Linked DNA regions of Neodiprion lecontei. The protein of the gene in region 2 binds, or shares a complex with, the protein of the main gene of each other region. Links are inferred from orthologs where the notes say so. Each region holds a gene or a part of one and is shown on either strand. Other genes may lie near its edges.

What was found.
Region 1: zinc finger CCCH domain-containing protein 13 (region 2) and N6-adenosine-methyltransferase subunit METTL3 share a complex: the UniProt entries of both Drosophila melanogaster proteins name them as parts of the WMM complex. The link is inferred for Neodiprion lecontei from reciprocal best matches to the Drosophila melanogaster genes Flacc and Mettl3.

What each region holds. Positions count from the first base shown.
Region 1 is NC_060264.1:30,608,684-30,616,628, forward strand, and holds N6-adenosine-methyltransferase subunit METTL3, read right to left. Parts: upstream 5,474-7,945; 5' UTR 5,278-5,473; exon of another isoform or gene 5,125-5,277; 5' UTR 5,051-5,124; coding exon 4,909-5,050; intron 4,835-4,908; coding exon 4,642-4,834; intron 4,560-4,641; coding exon 4,029-4,559; intron 3,590-4,028; coding exon 2,797-3,589; 3' UTR 1,855-2,796; downstream 1-1,854. Other genes in the region: neuroepithelial cell-transforming gene 1 protein, read left to right, coding at 1-336, 418-924; prolyl 3-hydroxylase 1, read right to left, coding at 5,973-6,059, 6,160-6,296, 6,387-6,512, 6,634-6,958, 7,117-7,372, 7,793-7,945. UniProt on the Drosophila melanogaster protein: Catalytic component of the WMM complex, a complex that mediates N6-methyladenosine (m6A) methylation of mRNAs, a modification that plays a role in the efficiency of mRNA splicing and is required for sex determination.
Region 2 is NC_060261.1:34,040,942-34,050,489, reverse strand, and holds zinc finger CCCH domain-containing protein 13, read right to left. Parts: upstream 7,023-9,548; 5' UTR 6,656-7,022; coding exon 6,471-6,655; intron 6,254-6,470; coding exon 6,178-6,253; intron 5,965-6,177; coding exon 5,561-5,964; intron 5,494-5,560; coding exon 3,793-5,493; intron 3,452-3,792; coding exon 3,128-3,451; intron 3,046-3,127; coding exon 2,261-3,045; intron 2,185-2,260; coding exon 2,070-2,184; intron 1,874-2,069; coding exon 1,774-1,873; 3' UTR 1,418-1,773; coding exon of another isoform or gene 1,301-1,417; 3' UTR 1,234-1,300; coding exon of another isoform or gene 1,142-1,233; 3' UTR 1,056-1,141; coding exon of another isoform or gene 960-1,055; 3' UTR 928-959; downstream 1-927. Other genes in the region: SET domain-containing protein SmydA-8-like, read left to right, coding at 67-432, 512-646, 711-897, 960-1,055, 1,142-1,233, 1,301-1,417; protein Mo25, read left to right, coding at 8,243-8,344, 8,418-8,585, 8,676-8,794, 8,886-9,054, 9,538-9,548. UniProt on the Drosophila melanogaster protein: Associated component of the WMM complex, a complex that mediates N6-methyladenosine (m6A) methylation of mRNAs, a modification that plays a role in the efficiency of mRNA splicing and is required for sex determination.

The DNA of each region.
Region 1 (7,945 bases), on a different chromosome or scaffold from region 2:
TTCCAAGAATTTCTGAAGAAAAGAACAAGTGTTCCACGGGCCGTTGACTTGTGGACATACTTGGACGTTCCGAGATCAAGGGTCGTCAAGTATCCTATCCTTGTTAATGAAATCCTCAGGCACACCCCGTGCAATCATCCTGATCAGACAGCGCTGAGAAAAGTGAGTGATATACTGTCCAAGTTACTTATAGAAATCGACGAAGCCATGGGAAATTCGGAGTGCAAGCTAGCCCAGAATAAAATCAACCCCTCGCCAGTTTGCGATCCTCATAAAGTCATACAAAATGCTGTGGAAGTCATTACCGAGGGGCAGTTGAGAGATGCTAAAGGAACGGTGCGCTCAATTGAGTTAATTTTCTTTCTTTAATTCCCTTAGCACGCTGATGTTCTAACCGAAAGTAATTTTGTTTTGCAGAAACTGCATTGCTTCTTGTTTGATAACTGCTTTGTACTGGCTCGTCCAGCGAGGAGACCAGGCAGAAAGTGTAACCCATGTTTCCCTGTCGTATTACGAGATCAGTTAAGGGTACAGTTTGAAATCGAGGCGGGTGAAAAAATTCATACTACCTCATTCAAGGTTGCAGAACACACGCTTAATGCTGACGATGAGCATGCAAAACGGCATTGGATTGAGTCTTTTCGTAGGCTAAATACTATTTCTACAAATGGAAAAAGAAATCACGATGGAAATATTATTGTAACTGAGGAAAAGAACAAAAAAAGGAAAGAAAAAGAGAATCGAAATGAAAATGAGAATGAGAATGAGGACGTGGATAAAATGAGTGAAATCAGCGAAAAGTCCCCGATAACGAAAAGTACAAGGAAACTGAAGTCTGTCGGAGATTTGTGCAGCAGTCATTTTCCGATTTCTCTTAGAAAAAGCCTTCTCAGGGATAAAAGAAACAGCATCAGCCTAGTGTGAAGAGTACTATGATTTATTCATATATAACTACTATATTCATATACATCCATTGCGTTAAGAAATTATACATATTTTTTTAGTCGCATGGTTTCACAGTCATTTTTGTAATTAACGTATCACGGATGATCTGGTGTTTCATTTTCCGGCAACTAAAAAAAAACAAATTAAATCCATTCACAGTGCTATCGTTGTCGGCGTTAATACCTATGAAAAAATGATTACGTAAGGAAATTTCAATCGATTGAGACGATAAAACAAATGCGGTTATCCGAATGGAGTCCAAATGTGTGATATTTAATAACCACGGATAATAACTAGCGCTGAATTGAATATATTTTTCAAAATTCATCCCTTTTAAATATATATTGCGTATTCGGATGTAACAACTACGCGAATCGCTCGGTTTGATAAATTGCGATTAGTAATTAATTCGAAGCCATAAATTGGTAAACCAGGACTAAGTGTGATCGATGCTTGAGAGAAATTGCAAAAAAATTTAAATTTTTCATTTTCTGACAAGTATCTATTTTATAATACAACGATTTTTTTTTTGATTTTTCTCTCATATTTTTTAACGTTATGGCCATCCATTATTTTTATCCGGATTTCAGAGTTTTAATATTAGGTTCAAATATTTTGACTTTTTGAGTTTTTATCCATTCATTTTTATACTTTTTATCTTATGCGACATCTGGTCATAGCAAATTTGTAATTTTCAATCACATCCTGGCCAGCTTCAAGAAACTGCTAACAGAATTCACGGTGTACTATCAATTTTGTGTTCTCTATGCCGCGTAACTTTTTTTGAACTCATATATTGCATAGACAATACAAATAATCGAAAGACAATGCAAATTAATTCATTTTGTGATAAATAATGCGCATTCATTTTTGATATAATTGGATCAGTCATACTTTTTTATGATCCAACTAATGTAAATATATATATTCCTGCATTTATACATAGAGAACTTCGGACAAACGCGGTGTTTTATGATATTAGGTTACGACTCGTGAAGCGTAGGTTTTATTTTCTTATACTTTCTCTTTAGTTAATAATTATTTTTAAATTCGACGAGAGATCTTTTAGGCGACGATAAGACGCACGTTTTACTCAACACCAGCAAAGTTTGCAGGGTGTTTTAATGCTGATGATCCGAATTCGCTGAATTACTTCGGAATCTTCTCCAAGAATAAAAAACAAAGAAAGCTACTTTTCATTTAGTGAAAATTAAATTTGAACCTTTCATTCGTTTGTGTGAAAAATCTGTCAATTTATTTAAATATTTACTTTAAGAATCACATCAATCAGAAAGGGAGATCACGTGGCTTATTCTATAATTCTGCATTTTCAAAACTGCAATTATAGAATAAAGCTGTAAATGTTTCTTGTTCTTTTCTATCCATTGGAACTTTCAGAGATAATCTGCAGCTGTGGCATATCCTTGGTATTTAGACACTCTGTCTCTTTTCCAATATTGTTTCAGATCAGTAATTTATCAACTTTGTTGTAAATAGATATTGCTATTGCTAATTTGGGAACAACTATTATAATAATGATTTATATATTTAAAGAAAAAGTGACACAAAAAAGCAAGTACAAATATCGTACCTACTGTATCGTTGTAGTGGCATTGATTAAAAAATAGAACAAATGAATATTTTTAGTATTTTTTTTATTAAAAATTTTTTCTGTTTGCTCAATTCCAGCACGTCTGAATTTTTGAAATCACCATTTTGAAACTTAAAAATCACAAAATATTTGGTCAAGTTGTAATTCCTATCTTATTGTTAATAATCCGTCCGCTGTCAAGATTCTCAAGGTTGCGATGTTGAAAATTTTGTTCTAAATATACAGAATATTAAATATCGCTAAGATTTACTCGGCTTCATCGAATTTCCATCGGGATAGCGTTTCTTAAAAGCTTTAATCAGTTGCGGGTCAATTAATCGCACACCGTCGACCTGATTTCCCAGAGTAATCCAGTTCGGTTGAACGTTGTGCGGTCTTCCGAATAACTCGATCTTTCTGGTTCCCGGGCTCATTCTTTCTATAATCCCATAAATTTCGTCGGGTTTATGACTCGTCGCCCTCACTTCGGCCACGATGACATCACTGTCCAGACCTCTGTTTACCCTGGGAAATCCCTTCATACCAACCAGACAGTGCTCTTTCCCATGATTGAGCCAGTGACCGGTTCTCCCAGTTCTTATAATGCGCTGAAGTTGATTAGTCTTCACCCAAATAATCTCGTCCACTCTGTCGTAGCCCCATAACTGGAGGCATTCTCTGCCTAATTCCATGGCTCGTCCGGTCACCCAAAGAAATAGGAGACCCTCATCTTGCAGGGTAGGGATTCCGAGTTGCCGCATTTCGTCATCCGACATTGTCCCGTAGGGAAGCTCCATATGGATATCCCAAGGAGGGTCCGCCATTATGACTGCGAACTTTCCCAGCACTGTCATATCCAGATATCTCAGGTCGCACTGGATCCACTGAGGAGGATACAGTGTCAGGTCCGATGCTCCCGTTGAGCCATTATTATTGCTCACTGGTTTTGGATCTAGAGCAGTTGTTCTGGAAGTATTTCCACAAGTCGTTGTGTCTGCTTCGCCCTGATCTTTAGGTTGCGCAGTGGGACCGTCAACTTCATAGTGAACGTACCTTGAAAACAGATGATTTAAAAAGTTTTGGTTTCTGTATTCTGGAATATTGTTAGAATTATTTCGAAATTTCGAAAGCCCATTATTTTGTACTTAAAGAATATTTTCAAAGGTACGTGATGACCAATATTTAAGTGTTTTGTGAGCAACTTTGAAGATAGTAATTTAGTTTAGAAGTACTTTGTGATACGCAATGAAATCCAGTGAACTAATCTCTACTGATTTTACCCAACTTCAATTCGGTTTCTAAATCATTAAATTTATCGACTCGATCATTAGTTTTCCGAGTTTGGTAAACCTGAAACATGCACAAGAGAAAACAAAAAAAAAATGAAAACAAATAGAGCTGAACTTATCTAAACTTATCAACGAATTTCACAGGAATCTATCACCATTGATGAATCTATAAAACGGGGAAAAGAAATAAAGTCAATTATTACTTGCAAGTGTCCATGTGGAAGCAAGTATTCAAAAAGCTACAGTCTCCCAAGCTTTCATCAGTATGACTTTGAAGGATTTTCTTGAAATGCAATTTCTTGCACTTCTCATTGAACGCTTGCCCAGACCCTGGCTGACTGTTGCCATTGAGCTTGGAGCAATCTGTACGAGTACCATGTGGACAAAATTCCATAACTTGGGCACCACCCTGAGACCTAAAACGTTCGGCCAATGACTTCTCCTTCGATGTTTGTTTTGACAAAAGGTCCAGTATCTGTTCCCCGACTTTTTTACTCTCCTTTTCTCTTATTGTAGGCATAGATATCAGTGACATGATGTCCTCAGTATTCTTCTTATCGAGCTTTGTCTGTTTTTCGGGTGGACTTTCCTCCTCGATTGCGGCAGGCAGTGAAACCCCCAGTTTTTCCTCTTCAACGATGTTTTCAGTATGTAACAACTCTGCCTGGGAATTCGATTCCGCAATAGACAGAATTGTATATCCGACGACATCGTTCTCTGTAATTTCCTTGATCCTGCGGATGAAATGTCTTAAAATATTGCGAGATTACGTGCTTTGTTTATTCGCATAAAAAACTTTTCTCATTAAGTAAATACCTGATAATGTCTTGTGCAGATAATTTTTCCAAGAGCTTGTTGATATCTGAAAATGATATGTCAATGCTGAGAGCTTTTCTGAGTTGATCTGTGAGATCAGTCGATGTGATTGGTAAGCTGGAGATACACTGATGCAAAATTCGCAAGACATCTTGTTCGTATTCAACCGGTTCAGATTTGTTATTAGTCGTGTCTGAAATTGAAATTAGAGGCTTGAAACAGAAATACGAGACTGAAAGTAATGGAAACAACAAATTAAACAGCTACCAATCACAGATGATTCTGTAGCTGGTGGGGTCGAAGTGAGAGTGAATAATTCGTGTCTCTCTCGTTTACGTTTTTGCAATTTTTCTCTTAGACTGTTCCTCTTTATCTTTATCGCCTGAATTTCCTCAAATGCATCAGACATCTTTCATCTCTTTTTCTTTCCTTATCACATACGAAGGTTATGATTTCGAACAACAACAACTAAGCCTCGATTTCCTAGGAAAAATAAAGTAAAAAAAAAAAATATTACCGAAACTTTTACTGGCTCATAAATATACGAAAATGTAGGAACGAGAAAATCGGATGCGGTATTTTTAGGTTAGGTATAGGTTATGTTTATTTGCGAAGTTGTAATTGGCTATCTATTACGCATTGTAGGAAACTAGGAATCAACTTTCGCAGTGTATCAAAAGTTTGGTATCGCCGTAAATGTATTTTGTAATATTTCTCGAATAAATCTTATTATCAACTGAATTGCTTGTGAATTTTTTCCCGGGAGTATAAATATTCAAGCGGGTGAACTCGGCGTTGCCAGCTTCACTTGGGATGCAAAATGTCTGATCGATATCCGTGGATAGAAAACTTTTGAAAGTAAAAAATTTATTCGTGGTTAAAGAAAATTCGACAATTTTATGGGATTACTTGGATTTTCAAATGTGCGACGGATTCGGCAAAATCTGATCAGGATTTGTAAAATTAAAATAAAATAGATCGATTTGCGTGTAAGTGAAAAACGGTTTAATTCGAAAATTATAAAATTCCGAATCAGAAGAAATAGTTTGTTTCAAAGTAAAATTAATTACTTATAGTTTTTCTCGGGTTTGTGATTTCCACTATTTGATTCAATCCGAAATTCCTAATAATCATGTAATCAGTTTCAATTCTACAATTAAAAGACAGGTGATTTGCGCTCTGAGCTTGAAGAAGCTTAATTATTTACGTATATTTATTAATGCATGTAAACGAATGTATGCATAAAATTAATTGTAAAAAAGTAAACTGCATTTTGTTCGGTTCAGTTTTTTGCAGAATTAAATTGTTCTTGGACGTGCGTTTTGTTCAGTTCAATTTTTTGCAGAATTAAATTGTTCTTGTATGTAGAGCAGAATGCGCAGTTCGTATTCCTGCCTCTTGAAGTACGACTCGGCTTCCTGCGAAAAAAAGAAATAAAAGTTCGCAAATCAATTTATTTGATCCTTAGTTATTCTCAAAGACCGTGCGTTCCTGACTCTAATAATGATAATTAATTACCTCGCGTGGCTTGAAGTATTCTTCTTTGACTTCCGGTAGTTCCATAAAATATCTCTTGTTTCTCAAAACGGTCTCATCGGTCGGTATGAAAAGCAAAAAGCTTTCAACCGCGGCACACGCTTCTTTAAATTTACCAACTAAAACGGTTTTTAAACAAGCAATTTAAACTATGAGCAATCCACAATGGAAACACAAGTCTATAAGGGAAACTATTTCCTAGATCTTACTTTTGAAATATGCGTACTGCAAATAATGATAGTGAGATATGAGCAAGTCGTGGCGCTGTTCCCCGTTGAGTTTATTTAATGCGTAGGAACAGCTGCGCTTGCATTTTAGTCCGAAAGCAAAGTGATCTAGAAAATAAAATTGGGTTTACATAACGTTTAAATTCTATAAGACAAGAATTTCCAAAGTTTCAAATGTAATTCGCGAATTGCCAATCCGTATTAGGAATGAAAATTCGGATTAACTCACTCGCAATGGACATGGTAAAGTCTGGAAGCCATCCCTGGTCGAATGGACCTTCGCAATACAATCTGCAATCCTCTTCAGCTTTCATGTAAGCCTTAAGAGAATTTTCAAGCTGCTCAATAACCTCCGGATAATTTTCTTCGTAATACGCTATAACTCCATCTTTGTACATTGCTTGGAATGGGTCACTTTCCAAATCTACTATATCCTCTTGAACGACTTCGGGAAGATCTATGTAGAACTGCATGTTCCTCAAGGTTTGATTGTCCGTCGGGTGAATGGTCAAAAACGTGAAAATGGCATTCGCCGCATCCTGGTACCGCTTCGTCTATAACGCGCGTAAAAAAACAAACATATTATCTGTGATGCGACACGAGATATAATGAAATGACATGGTGGGATTTCGTTTCGGCACCAAAGTTTTTTTTCCAACAATTCTCATATTTGAAATCCGTTTTTACTTCATCAGCAGTAAATTGTACATACCTTGTAATAGCAAATGTGCAGAAACTCGTAGGCCTTACGTTCAATGTACTTCCTCTCCACATGAACGGGCAACTGTCTATCATTGTCTTTATTCCTCACGATCTTCTTGCATTTCATCAAACACAACGTTTCCCTGACTTTTCTTTCGAAGAAGTGCATATCTTCTATGTCGTACGGAAATATTGGTTCAACATCGTTAACTTCCGCTCGGCACTGTCTTCGGCAATCAGCAACCGTCTTTTTGTGCATTTTGTAGCTGCGGCGCACCATGTATTGCATTAATAAACATCGATAATTACCTACTAACTTATAATTAACTAAAAGCCCATTGCAGATCCGTACACGAATATTTACAAATACTTATTATGGAAAATGCTACCGCTAACGCGAACTTTTTAGTAGAGCTCATCGAGACCTTTTAAATTCTTGAACCCAACTTTCGTCTATCTGTCAAAGTTTAGTCAGCGTTCGCATAAGTGTGCGATCCTGTTCCAACTTAGCTTACAAACATCGTTGTATCTTAAAACCCGACCAGACGTTGTAGCTATCCACAGAAATAAAAATGATCAAAAACGGTTCGGTAGTTCTCGAATTATAAGGGAACATACTTGCAGCCAGACAAAGAGACGTTGGGTTTTATGTTATATTGTGTAGACAAGATAAAACTGTGTTGAACCTGTTAAGGGCTTTGTGGAAGTCGTCGATGCACCCTTGCCAGTCATCGTTCAGATACGACTCGACACCCGTTTCGAAAAGATTATCAAGCTTATTTGGATCCTCCTCGGTTTTACTCCCATTTACCGGTCTGTCAGTGTCCTGCTTACCGGCA
Region 2 (9,548 bases):
GAAAAAAAGACACTGTATGTCAAATTAAAAATATGAAAGTCATTGTATGAATTTATATTTTCACAGATAGATCTTTTAAAGAGCAGTATAAAAATTCAAATGAATCAAATAGAGGAACAGTTCATGAGACGAGTGTGTGCAGTAATGGATACTAATTCGTTTGAAACAGCTGCAATAGTTGGGGAGTCTGTCACAAGCTTGCGAGGCTTATACCCAATGGGTGCTTTGCAGAATCATTGTTGTACACCCAATACTCGTCATTATTACGATTCTCAACAGAGATTATATGTAACAGCTGCTATTCCCATTAAGAAAAACGAGGAGATAACTATGACTTACACAGATTTGTTTTGGGATACAACGTTAAGAAGACGACATTTAGCTGCCACTAAACATTTCTTCTGCACATGCAGTAGATGCACTGATCCGCTAGTACTTAAATTTTGACTATGTGCCTCTAAATAATTTTAAATACTTATATAAAATTACAATATCTTCTATAACTTCTTAGGAAAATGGATCTTTGCTTGGAGCATTGCGTTGTGCTCGTAAGGAGTGTTCAGGAATTTTAGTCGCTGTTGAACCTTTAGATACTTCAACAGTGTGGGAGTGCAGAGAATGCGGATTACGCCTGAAAAACAGACAAGTATGTTACATACGTAAAACAGACAAGTATGTACTTATAAACTTCGTTTGATTTTTTCTTTTAGATTATTTCAATTCGATCAGCTTTGGGAAGTATAGTTGAAGAGATGATATACAAAAGTCCTAAGCAGATGTTGCGATTCATGAAAAGTGAACTGTCGGTCTTGGTACCTGCAACAAATTACGTTGCAGTTGATATGAAACTCAGAATAATATCTTGTCTTGGAAGAACCGAGAAGTTTTTGTGGGAAGGTAAATACAATTACTGTGCAAACTTGAAGGTTGTTGTGTATCTCTGTCGAATTGATTTACAGATTTGACAAAGGATGAGCTCAGCATCAAGGAAAAATACTGCAGGGATTTATTACGCTTGATTGAGACTTTAAAATGTGGCGAATGTAAGATGAAAGGTAGTTTAAGAAACATATATTTGCAATGTCGTCTCTCCATATCTTTTTTTGTGGCCACATTAATATTCAATAACTGCTCATTTTAGGCTTGATCTCTTATGAGTTGTATAGTACATTGATGGAGCTGAACAAACGCCAATTTAATGAAGAAACTAATATTGAGAAGTCTGAGTCACAGGTACAAAATTCTTAGACTTCTGTGAACAAATAATTATCATGAATATTGACTCTTTTACGTGACGTAGTTTCAGGTGAATGAAGAAAGTAAGAACCTGCTTGAGACTGCGATATTGATATTACAAAATGACTTAACTGCTCCCAAAGATTTGTTGTCTCTTGTTTCTGGTATGACAAAAAAATAAATATAAATTAATTATGAAGTTGTGAATATTAAATTCACATTCACATGCTTCGCCCGCATTTAAATTTAATGACCTATTCTAGAACCGAAGCTAATCTGACCCGCGGTTGAAAAAAATCAATCTTTGCATAGCTATGAACCATCGTCTCGACAATACAAATGTCTTGTGTGAATATGATCTCAATCGGTCGAGTCGTTCATAAGTTACACGATACAAAAAGGCGCACAAAAGAATTATATATATTAAGACCACGAATACGTACAATTTTCCCTAATATATTCTAAGTACTAAGTAACTATGCTTAGCAATGATACAAAGATAAAAATATTAACAATTGCAATGCATATGAGAAATGTCTATGTAACTTTTTGTAATAATATCTTTGCTTCTTCACATAAGCTCGTGCAAGGTTGCAGAGTTTCTTCATCATCGTCCTCATTTGCCTCAGCATAATTTCTGTAATTTGAAATAACCAAAATTAATTTTCATTACAATTGCGTGGCAAATATCAATTAATGACACATCATATTATTTCATCTTAATTATGGACAAGTCTATTATGTAAATGTAATCGAAAATTTCACCAATCTGGGTAATCTTTTCCAACGGTTCTCTAAATATGCATCTTTATTTTCTTTTGTACTCAATTTACCTGCATAGTAAATTTTCGCTGATTAATGAAGTTCTTGATGTCCGAGTCATAAATTGCTGCCTCATGATTGCAGTGTGTAGAAGGGCGACGTCATTCAGAAGAAATTTATCAGCATCTGAAAGTAGCGTGGAATTAAGAAGTAATTGAAGCTATTATAGTAAACACTAGTAATATGTAAAATATAGATTTACCATCTATGCAGTACTTCTTTGTTATGGATTCTACCATTTCCGCCCCTGCATATTTCATAGAGATACCAATGCGCTGGAATATAGCTTTACATTGCCAGCGACTTTGAGCAGTATTTTGATTCATGGTAAGAACTCGACGAGGCTGAGATTCTTTGACTAAACTTTCCCAATCTACACCCAAAGCATCTCCCAAGCCCTTGCCGCTTGTCTTAATATCCTCCTCAAGTTCTCCATCGGATATTTCTTCAAAGTCCATATTCTCAATATTTTCTTCTTCGATATTTCGGAATTCCATTTGTTCGTTTGTATCTTTTTCCTTGGTAAATATAGTCTCTTCTACAATTTCTTTTGGTGATAACTGTGAGGCTTCTGGAGTTTGTACAAGTACGTCTCGTTCATTAATCTCTGTACCTTTTTTAGGTAAGGGCAATTTTGGTGTCTCACTTTCTTCTTCTTCCATATTCAAAATATCATCAGGATCATCGCTGATATCACTCAAATCACTCTCCGTATGCAAAGTTTGGAGAGATTCATCCAAGCATGGACGTTTAGGTTCTGCAGCCAAAGGGGATTCTTTAACTTCCGATTTTTCGCGTTGTGGAATTCTTTTCTGAAAATTTTCAACAGATTTCTCTCTGCTCCTCCTGACCCTACCCTCCGCTAATTCCATCAATTTTTTATTTATCGGTTCTTCCTTCATGCTGCCATGTAAAGATCCTTGTTTTGACCCATGAGCAGAGCATTCATCTCTCAATTCCGGAGTGCTATAGGGTGGACGTCGTTTGCTTGAAACACAAACTTTTGATATAAAATATGGTACTATTATGCTTCTAAATTTTTCGAAATATTAATTATTATTATCAATACCTATGTAGTTCTCCTAAGTCTATTTCTTTGATTCTGTCATTTCTGTAGTGTCCTCGGTTGTGAGGTGGATTGTGGGGTGGATTGTGGGGCAAACTTTCCCATTTTCGGCCTTCATTCAACTTCCAATCAGGCATAGGGCTGTCATAGCGTGGAGCCCATTCTTCTTCATGAACCTCTGAATGTGGAGGACTTTCTCTATCCCACATCGGAGGTCGAGCCGCTCTCCATTCACGTTCCTCCCAGTCAGAAGTTTGGTAATTCCGGTCTCGACTACCATGCTCCATCTCATGATGGACATCCCAATTGTCATTACTACTTTCGTCTCTGTTATAAAAAAAAAAAAATGACGATTAAAAAAATTATTGGAAGATTTGTAAAGTTCAAATGAAGTTCTGTACACTACCAGACAGTTCTGATACAATCAATTTTTATGTAAACTAATATCAGTCTACACCATTAAAATGTAGAATGGACTGCGCACTTTCTATCCAAGCAATAGAAGTAATGTGTCTGCTACTGTATGAGAAAGATAAAATGTGATTATGACTATCCAGAGGTGTGGTTAACTAAGCACATTTTTATATAAAGACTGCTGCTTTTTGATATTTGCTGCACAGGCTTCAGGTTTGCATGCACAGTTCATCTTATATGTATATGGTCTATACCTGTTTACACTAGACCTCATTTTTTCACCCGAAAATATGGGCAGATGTGGATCCTCAAAAGGCCTTTCACTCTGCATAGCATAGCGTGATGGACGTTCATCTCTACCTCGTCTTTCTTCGAAAGGGCTGTTGTACCTTCTTGGTTCCATTGGTTTACGTCTTTCATCTTCATGAGGGTGGTGATCTCGATAATCAACTCTTGGAGGTTCCTCAGGCTCTTCCCAATGCTCAGGTGGCAATCGAGCATAGCCCCTATCGTAGTTTCTCTCTATTTCTAGGCTGCGTCTGGACCCATCTCTTCGTTCCGGTAGTCTGTCTATTTTTGATGGAATATGAGGTGGCTCCTTGCGCTCATGATCGGCTGGATGCCCTCTGTCAAACCTAGGATTGAATCTTCTATGCCTGTCCCGATCATAAAGATTTTCTCGTTCCATAACATGGTCACGAGCTCCTGTAGCTATGTTTTTGTCAACTACTCGATCAAGAGATCTTTCTCTTGGAAAACGCTCTTGTCTATCTCTCTCCACACCTTTGTGAGGCAGCATTTCTTTATCCAATGATCTGTCATAGCGAGCATCAAATCGTTGTAAAGCTCTGTCTCGATCTAAGGGTTTTTCTGACCTTTCTCGGTCTCTCTCACTCCGTCTATCCCTCTGTCCACTTTTGTCAAGCCCTCCATCTTTGAATCTATCCTTATCTCGACCATACCGACCATTCTTATCCATAGGATTAATAGCAGTTGTTGCCATGAGTGGTGGTATATCTCTTTCTCGAACTTTAACTGCATCTTTTTCACGATCTCGTTCTCTTTGTCTATCTCGACACCTTTCCTGTACTTCTTCTCGTTCTTTTTCTCGCTGAGAATCACGCTGATCTCTGCCTAATCTTGAATGACTTCTATCATCCCTTAAGTTGTGCTCCTTATCTCTACGTTCCTTGCTACGCTGCCGATTGCGTTCACTGACATAATTTTTCTCCTCGATGTCTCGAACCGCATTCTTACGATGGGAGTCTTCTTGGCTAGACGAAGGCTTTGATTTGGATGGATCATTTTTACGAATATCGTCTTTGTCTTTATTTCGATCTCCTTTGTATGAGTCACGTTCTTTTTTATCTATCTCTCTGGATCTTCCAGAAGATGTTTTACTCTCTTGGTGACGAAGTGGAGTTACCTCTCGTTTAGACCTCAATGGTTTCTCTGGAGTTCGACTGCGCCTCGATTTAGTATTAGAAAAATCTTTAGGATACTGGTATTTAGATTTCTCAATAGGTGGGGTTCTAGAACGTCTTTCTTTATCTTTTACTCTCTGTTTTGATTTCTCATCAGTTTTTACACGATCTTCCACAATGCGACTTTTATTTTTATCAGACTCTTTTGATTTATCAGTAGCCTTATTCTTCACTATATCTTTCAATGAAGGCTCATCTTCTCTAATTTTTTTATGATGCTTATCTTTTTCCACTTCCCTACTCCTTGGTTTTGGGGATTCACTCCGGTTTCGCTCCTTTACTTTACTGGAGGAAGCATGTGCTGACATGGTTGGTGATTTAACCTTGGTAGAAGAATGCTTTCTGGATGAAGAAATAGCAACTTTCTTAGCTGCTTTTACAACTGGTTCTTTTTTGCTCAACACTTCAATCTTGCGTTTCTTTTTTACGATAAGTTTTTCATTCTTCGTTCCCAGTCTTTTAAGCTTAAGCCTGTTGAAAAAATTAAAAATAACAAACATTATATAGCTCAAGTTAAAATGCCAGATGTTGTACTTACTTCTTTTTTCGTTCCTTATCTTCATCATAATCTGAAGATGCACTGTGATGTCGTTTAGACTTGACCTTCTTGACTTTCTTGCGAGAATCCGAAGTGGAGCTAGATGAGGAATCATCACTACTAGAGCTACTGCTGCTGCTGGATGTGCTAGAGCTGTGTGAACTAGATGATGAACTCATAGCTTTTTTTTTGTGTTTTGTTGTCTTTTCCTTGCCATGAATTTCCTTGTCTTTCTTCATTTGTAATTCTAATTCTCTTTGTAAGAGCTGAAGTCTTCTTTCTAAAGCTTTTTCGTCTTCGTATTCCAGATCTGTCTGGTTCCACTCTTCCAAATTAAGATCAGGACTATGAGACGTCTTTTTTACAATTTTTGATGTGACTCGCTTGAATGGATCTTCGCTAGGCTATTGTAAAAGTCAACGGTAGGTAATTCGTCATAACGCAATTTATTAATTATATTTAAAAATACTTGGGATTAATTCCAAAACCACTTGAAGGATAGAAAAAAAACTTGTTAGTATAATCATCGAAACTGATGGAGGAATTTCAATTTGATAAATCTCTCAATTAGAAATACTTGCAAATATAGAAGACAACTTTGAATCAAAGGCACTTACCACAGTTGCACTAGTAAGAGCATTATCTTTCTTCACACGTTTTGATGGGCTGATCAGTGTGTGCGTGATTGCGTACCTAGTACAAATAAATGTTAATGTGCCAATTGTTTCATAGAAGACTTTGAAATTGATTTTTAACTGGAAGATCATGAATAAGTTTCATGACATTTGACAAAAATATTGACAATTGTAACGACGTGTTACTGATAAAGAGTGGTAGATCGAATTTCAGGACAATTATTTATGGTGCTGTATATGGTCACTAATTGTCATGTTGCAAATAATCAACATACTTGCAACTTTTGCCGTACGAACAACTGCCATTCAGAGCCCAATTTCTACAGTAATCGGAATTGTTTTGGCCGGTGGAAGTTGCTGGTGGTTTGGTACCCAACCTCTCAAATACGCTAGGTCGTCGAGAGTCTGTGTTACATTTCGAAGGGTCAACTGTTATTTTTCTTATGTTTGGTTTTGACATATTATCACCATAAAACGATTTTAAATTGATACTGGAAGCACATAACTGCGGTATGCAAAATCCCACTTTGCTATCTTCTATCACAAAAACAAACTCAATGGATACCTACGATCCGGTACAATCACCATACAAAATTAGTTAATCTAAAATCGCAGGGTCGAGCCCCATGAAGAGTGTTAAGCTCGTGGATTAATTATTTCATTTATAATGGCAGTGAGGCCATCTCTCGGTAGTTGGAAAAGGTTATGTCTGTGATGTCACATCCCCGAATGCAGAAGTTTCCTCAACGGGAGATTAAGAAAAAACCCGGTAGCCTGGCAAGAAAAGAGACTCCCGAACGCTTAAAGACGATTACCCCTACTGATTAGTGATTAGTGATAACCCCTCGACAAATTCTTGTAACCAACACCGGCGCGTAAATGGGCCTTGGGCCATAAGAAGCCGTGTTCAGGATAGTTATCCGGTAGCTTCTTTATCGGCACTAACCGTTTAACACGCAATCCGATAAGCACATAAGACCACATTAGGGTATACCGTCTTTAACAGTCTTCAGTCAACTTAAGCCAACGCCATGGAGTTTCAAGTGTTTATATCAGTGTGATCGTTACTGTATTAACACGCTCACAGAGAAGCCACGCCAAATTAAAGTTACGTGATCGACCGTCAGACTACAACGTCACACTAGAGTCATCATGAAGTTATAGTATTTCTACCATCTCTACTATTTTCTATTATTCGTGTTTGAAGGAGCGTAAATAACATCTACGAGTTGATTGGACATAGGAGCGGTCAGTAACAAGCAGTAATAAGAAGGATGACCAATAGTGAATCCTAACAGCCCCCAATGTCAGTCGTCAGTGTCGAGCTTGTAATAAATGGCAATCTTGAGTTATGCGATATATTAAAAGATTAAGAAAGATTAATACTTATTAAAAAGACTGTGGAAAGTTGAAAACACATTGAATAATTGATAGAGAACGTCGTTCTACGTCAGGTTTCTTAAACATATAATTTTCGACAGGTTTCGAATAACTTATTTATAACCGCAAAATACGTCAGTATCGTTCTACGTATAAATGAAATGCTAAAAGGGAAATCTGTGCTATAAGTGCTAAGAAACAACTGCGTACATTGATTCAACTACTTATTGAATGGTAAGCTTATTGAATAATTTAAATACAAAGTTACATAACTATATTTCTATGCGATAGGTTATCTTAATGTACAACTCAACACTGTTTAGATTTTTTCCGAATTTTTTTCAACTCTGAAACTTTGAAGCTAGCCCCATGCTTTTCAATCTAAATTTTCCTATTCATTCCTATTTTTATCAAGCTCTAACATTATATGAATCGATTCATTACAATCTCTGAATCTATACTGAAAAATTATGGAGTCTAGGGATACTTAGTCACAATTAGTTTAAGCAAATCAATGTTTCATTAAATCACAGGCTTGCTTTTTTGGTTCTTGAATTAATATTTTTTACTCATCTTCAAACTCCAACTTATACCTTGCTCACCAGTGCAATGAATTAAATGTATGAAATTTGAATTTTTCCACAAGGTTTTCATCTTCTAAGAAATCATGCCTCTGTTCGGAAAATCTCAAAAGAGTCCGGCGGAGGTTGTAAAGGCTCTAAAAGAGGCCGTTAATGCCCTGGAACGTGGTGATAAGAAAGTAGAGAAGGTATGCAGCATGTAGCCAGTTTCCTGCCAAAAAGAATTCCTATTATGTATTTAAACATGAATCATCTTTCCAGGCTCAAGAGGATGTCAGCAAAAATTTAGTGCATATTAAAAACATGCTTTATGGGACCGCCGAAGCAGAGCCTCAAGCTGATATTGTCGTAGCTCAGCTAGCTCAGGAGTTGTACAACAGCAATCTGCTATTGCTCTTGGTCCAGAATCTTAGTCGGATTGATTTTGAGGTGACTTCATCAACCTCTGCTTTCACAACGAGATAAAGTACAAAATAGTGCATATGAAAAGGTTGTTATAATTTTGTATGATTCCTTCAGGGGAAGAAAGATGTGGCTCAGGTATTCAACAATATCTTACGGAGGCAAATTGGCACACGATCGCCAACAGTTGAATATATTTGTACGAAGCCAGAAATATTATTCACTCTTATGTCTGGGTAAGTTGTGAGATATAAATCATACTCAGTTTTGTTTTTTAATTTCAAACAAAATTCAATCAACTTAACCAGAGAATTCCTATACTTTCAGCTACGAGCATCAAGATATTGCATTAAATTGTGGAACGATGCTGAGGGAATGCGCTCGATATGAGGCATTGGCCAAAATAATGATTTATTCTGATGATTTTTATAATTTCTTTCGATATGTCGAAGTTTCGACATTCGATATTGCATCAGATGCCTTTTCTACATTTAAGGTAGTTGTCGTTACACATATATATGTAATTTTTTAAACTAATGTGTTGGTACAGTATCTTGGCAACACATCGGAAAAACCATCAATAGTCAGAGAATTTTGTCACTCTGGGAAACTTTGAAAATTATGTTCATAAATTCTTTGTGAAATACCCAATCATTCACTGTCAATTGCTACAGAGTTTTGGTATGTAATAACTTTTCATGTACGTAAAAAACATGCCATATGGTACGCTAGAAAAAAGTATAGATTGCCATTAAGAATGATAACAGAAACCCCAGTGACATGATTATTTCATTTTTTTACTATAAACTACTGTATTTTTCAAACTTCATCACCAAGGGTTAGAAAAAGCTAAATTTTGTGCTGGTTTTTTTTCAACTTGAGAAAGTTGGAGCATTTAATTTAAATCAATATGTTTCTACTATGTACATCTTATTATTGTTAAAGAAAAAAAGTTTTCTGAGGAGTTTCATTGTTTCAGGAATTGTTAAC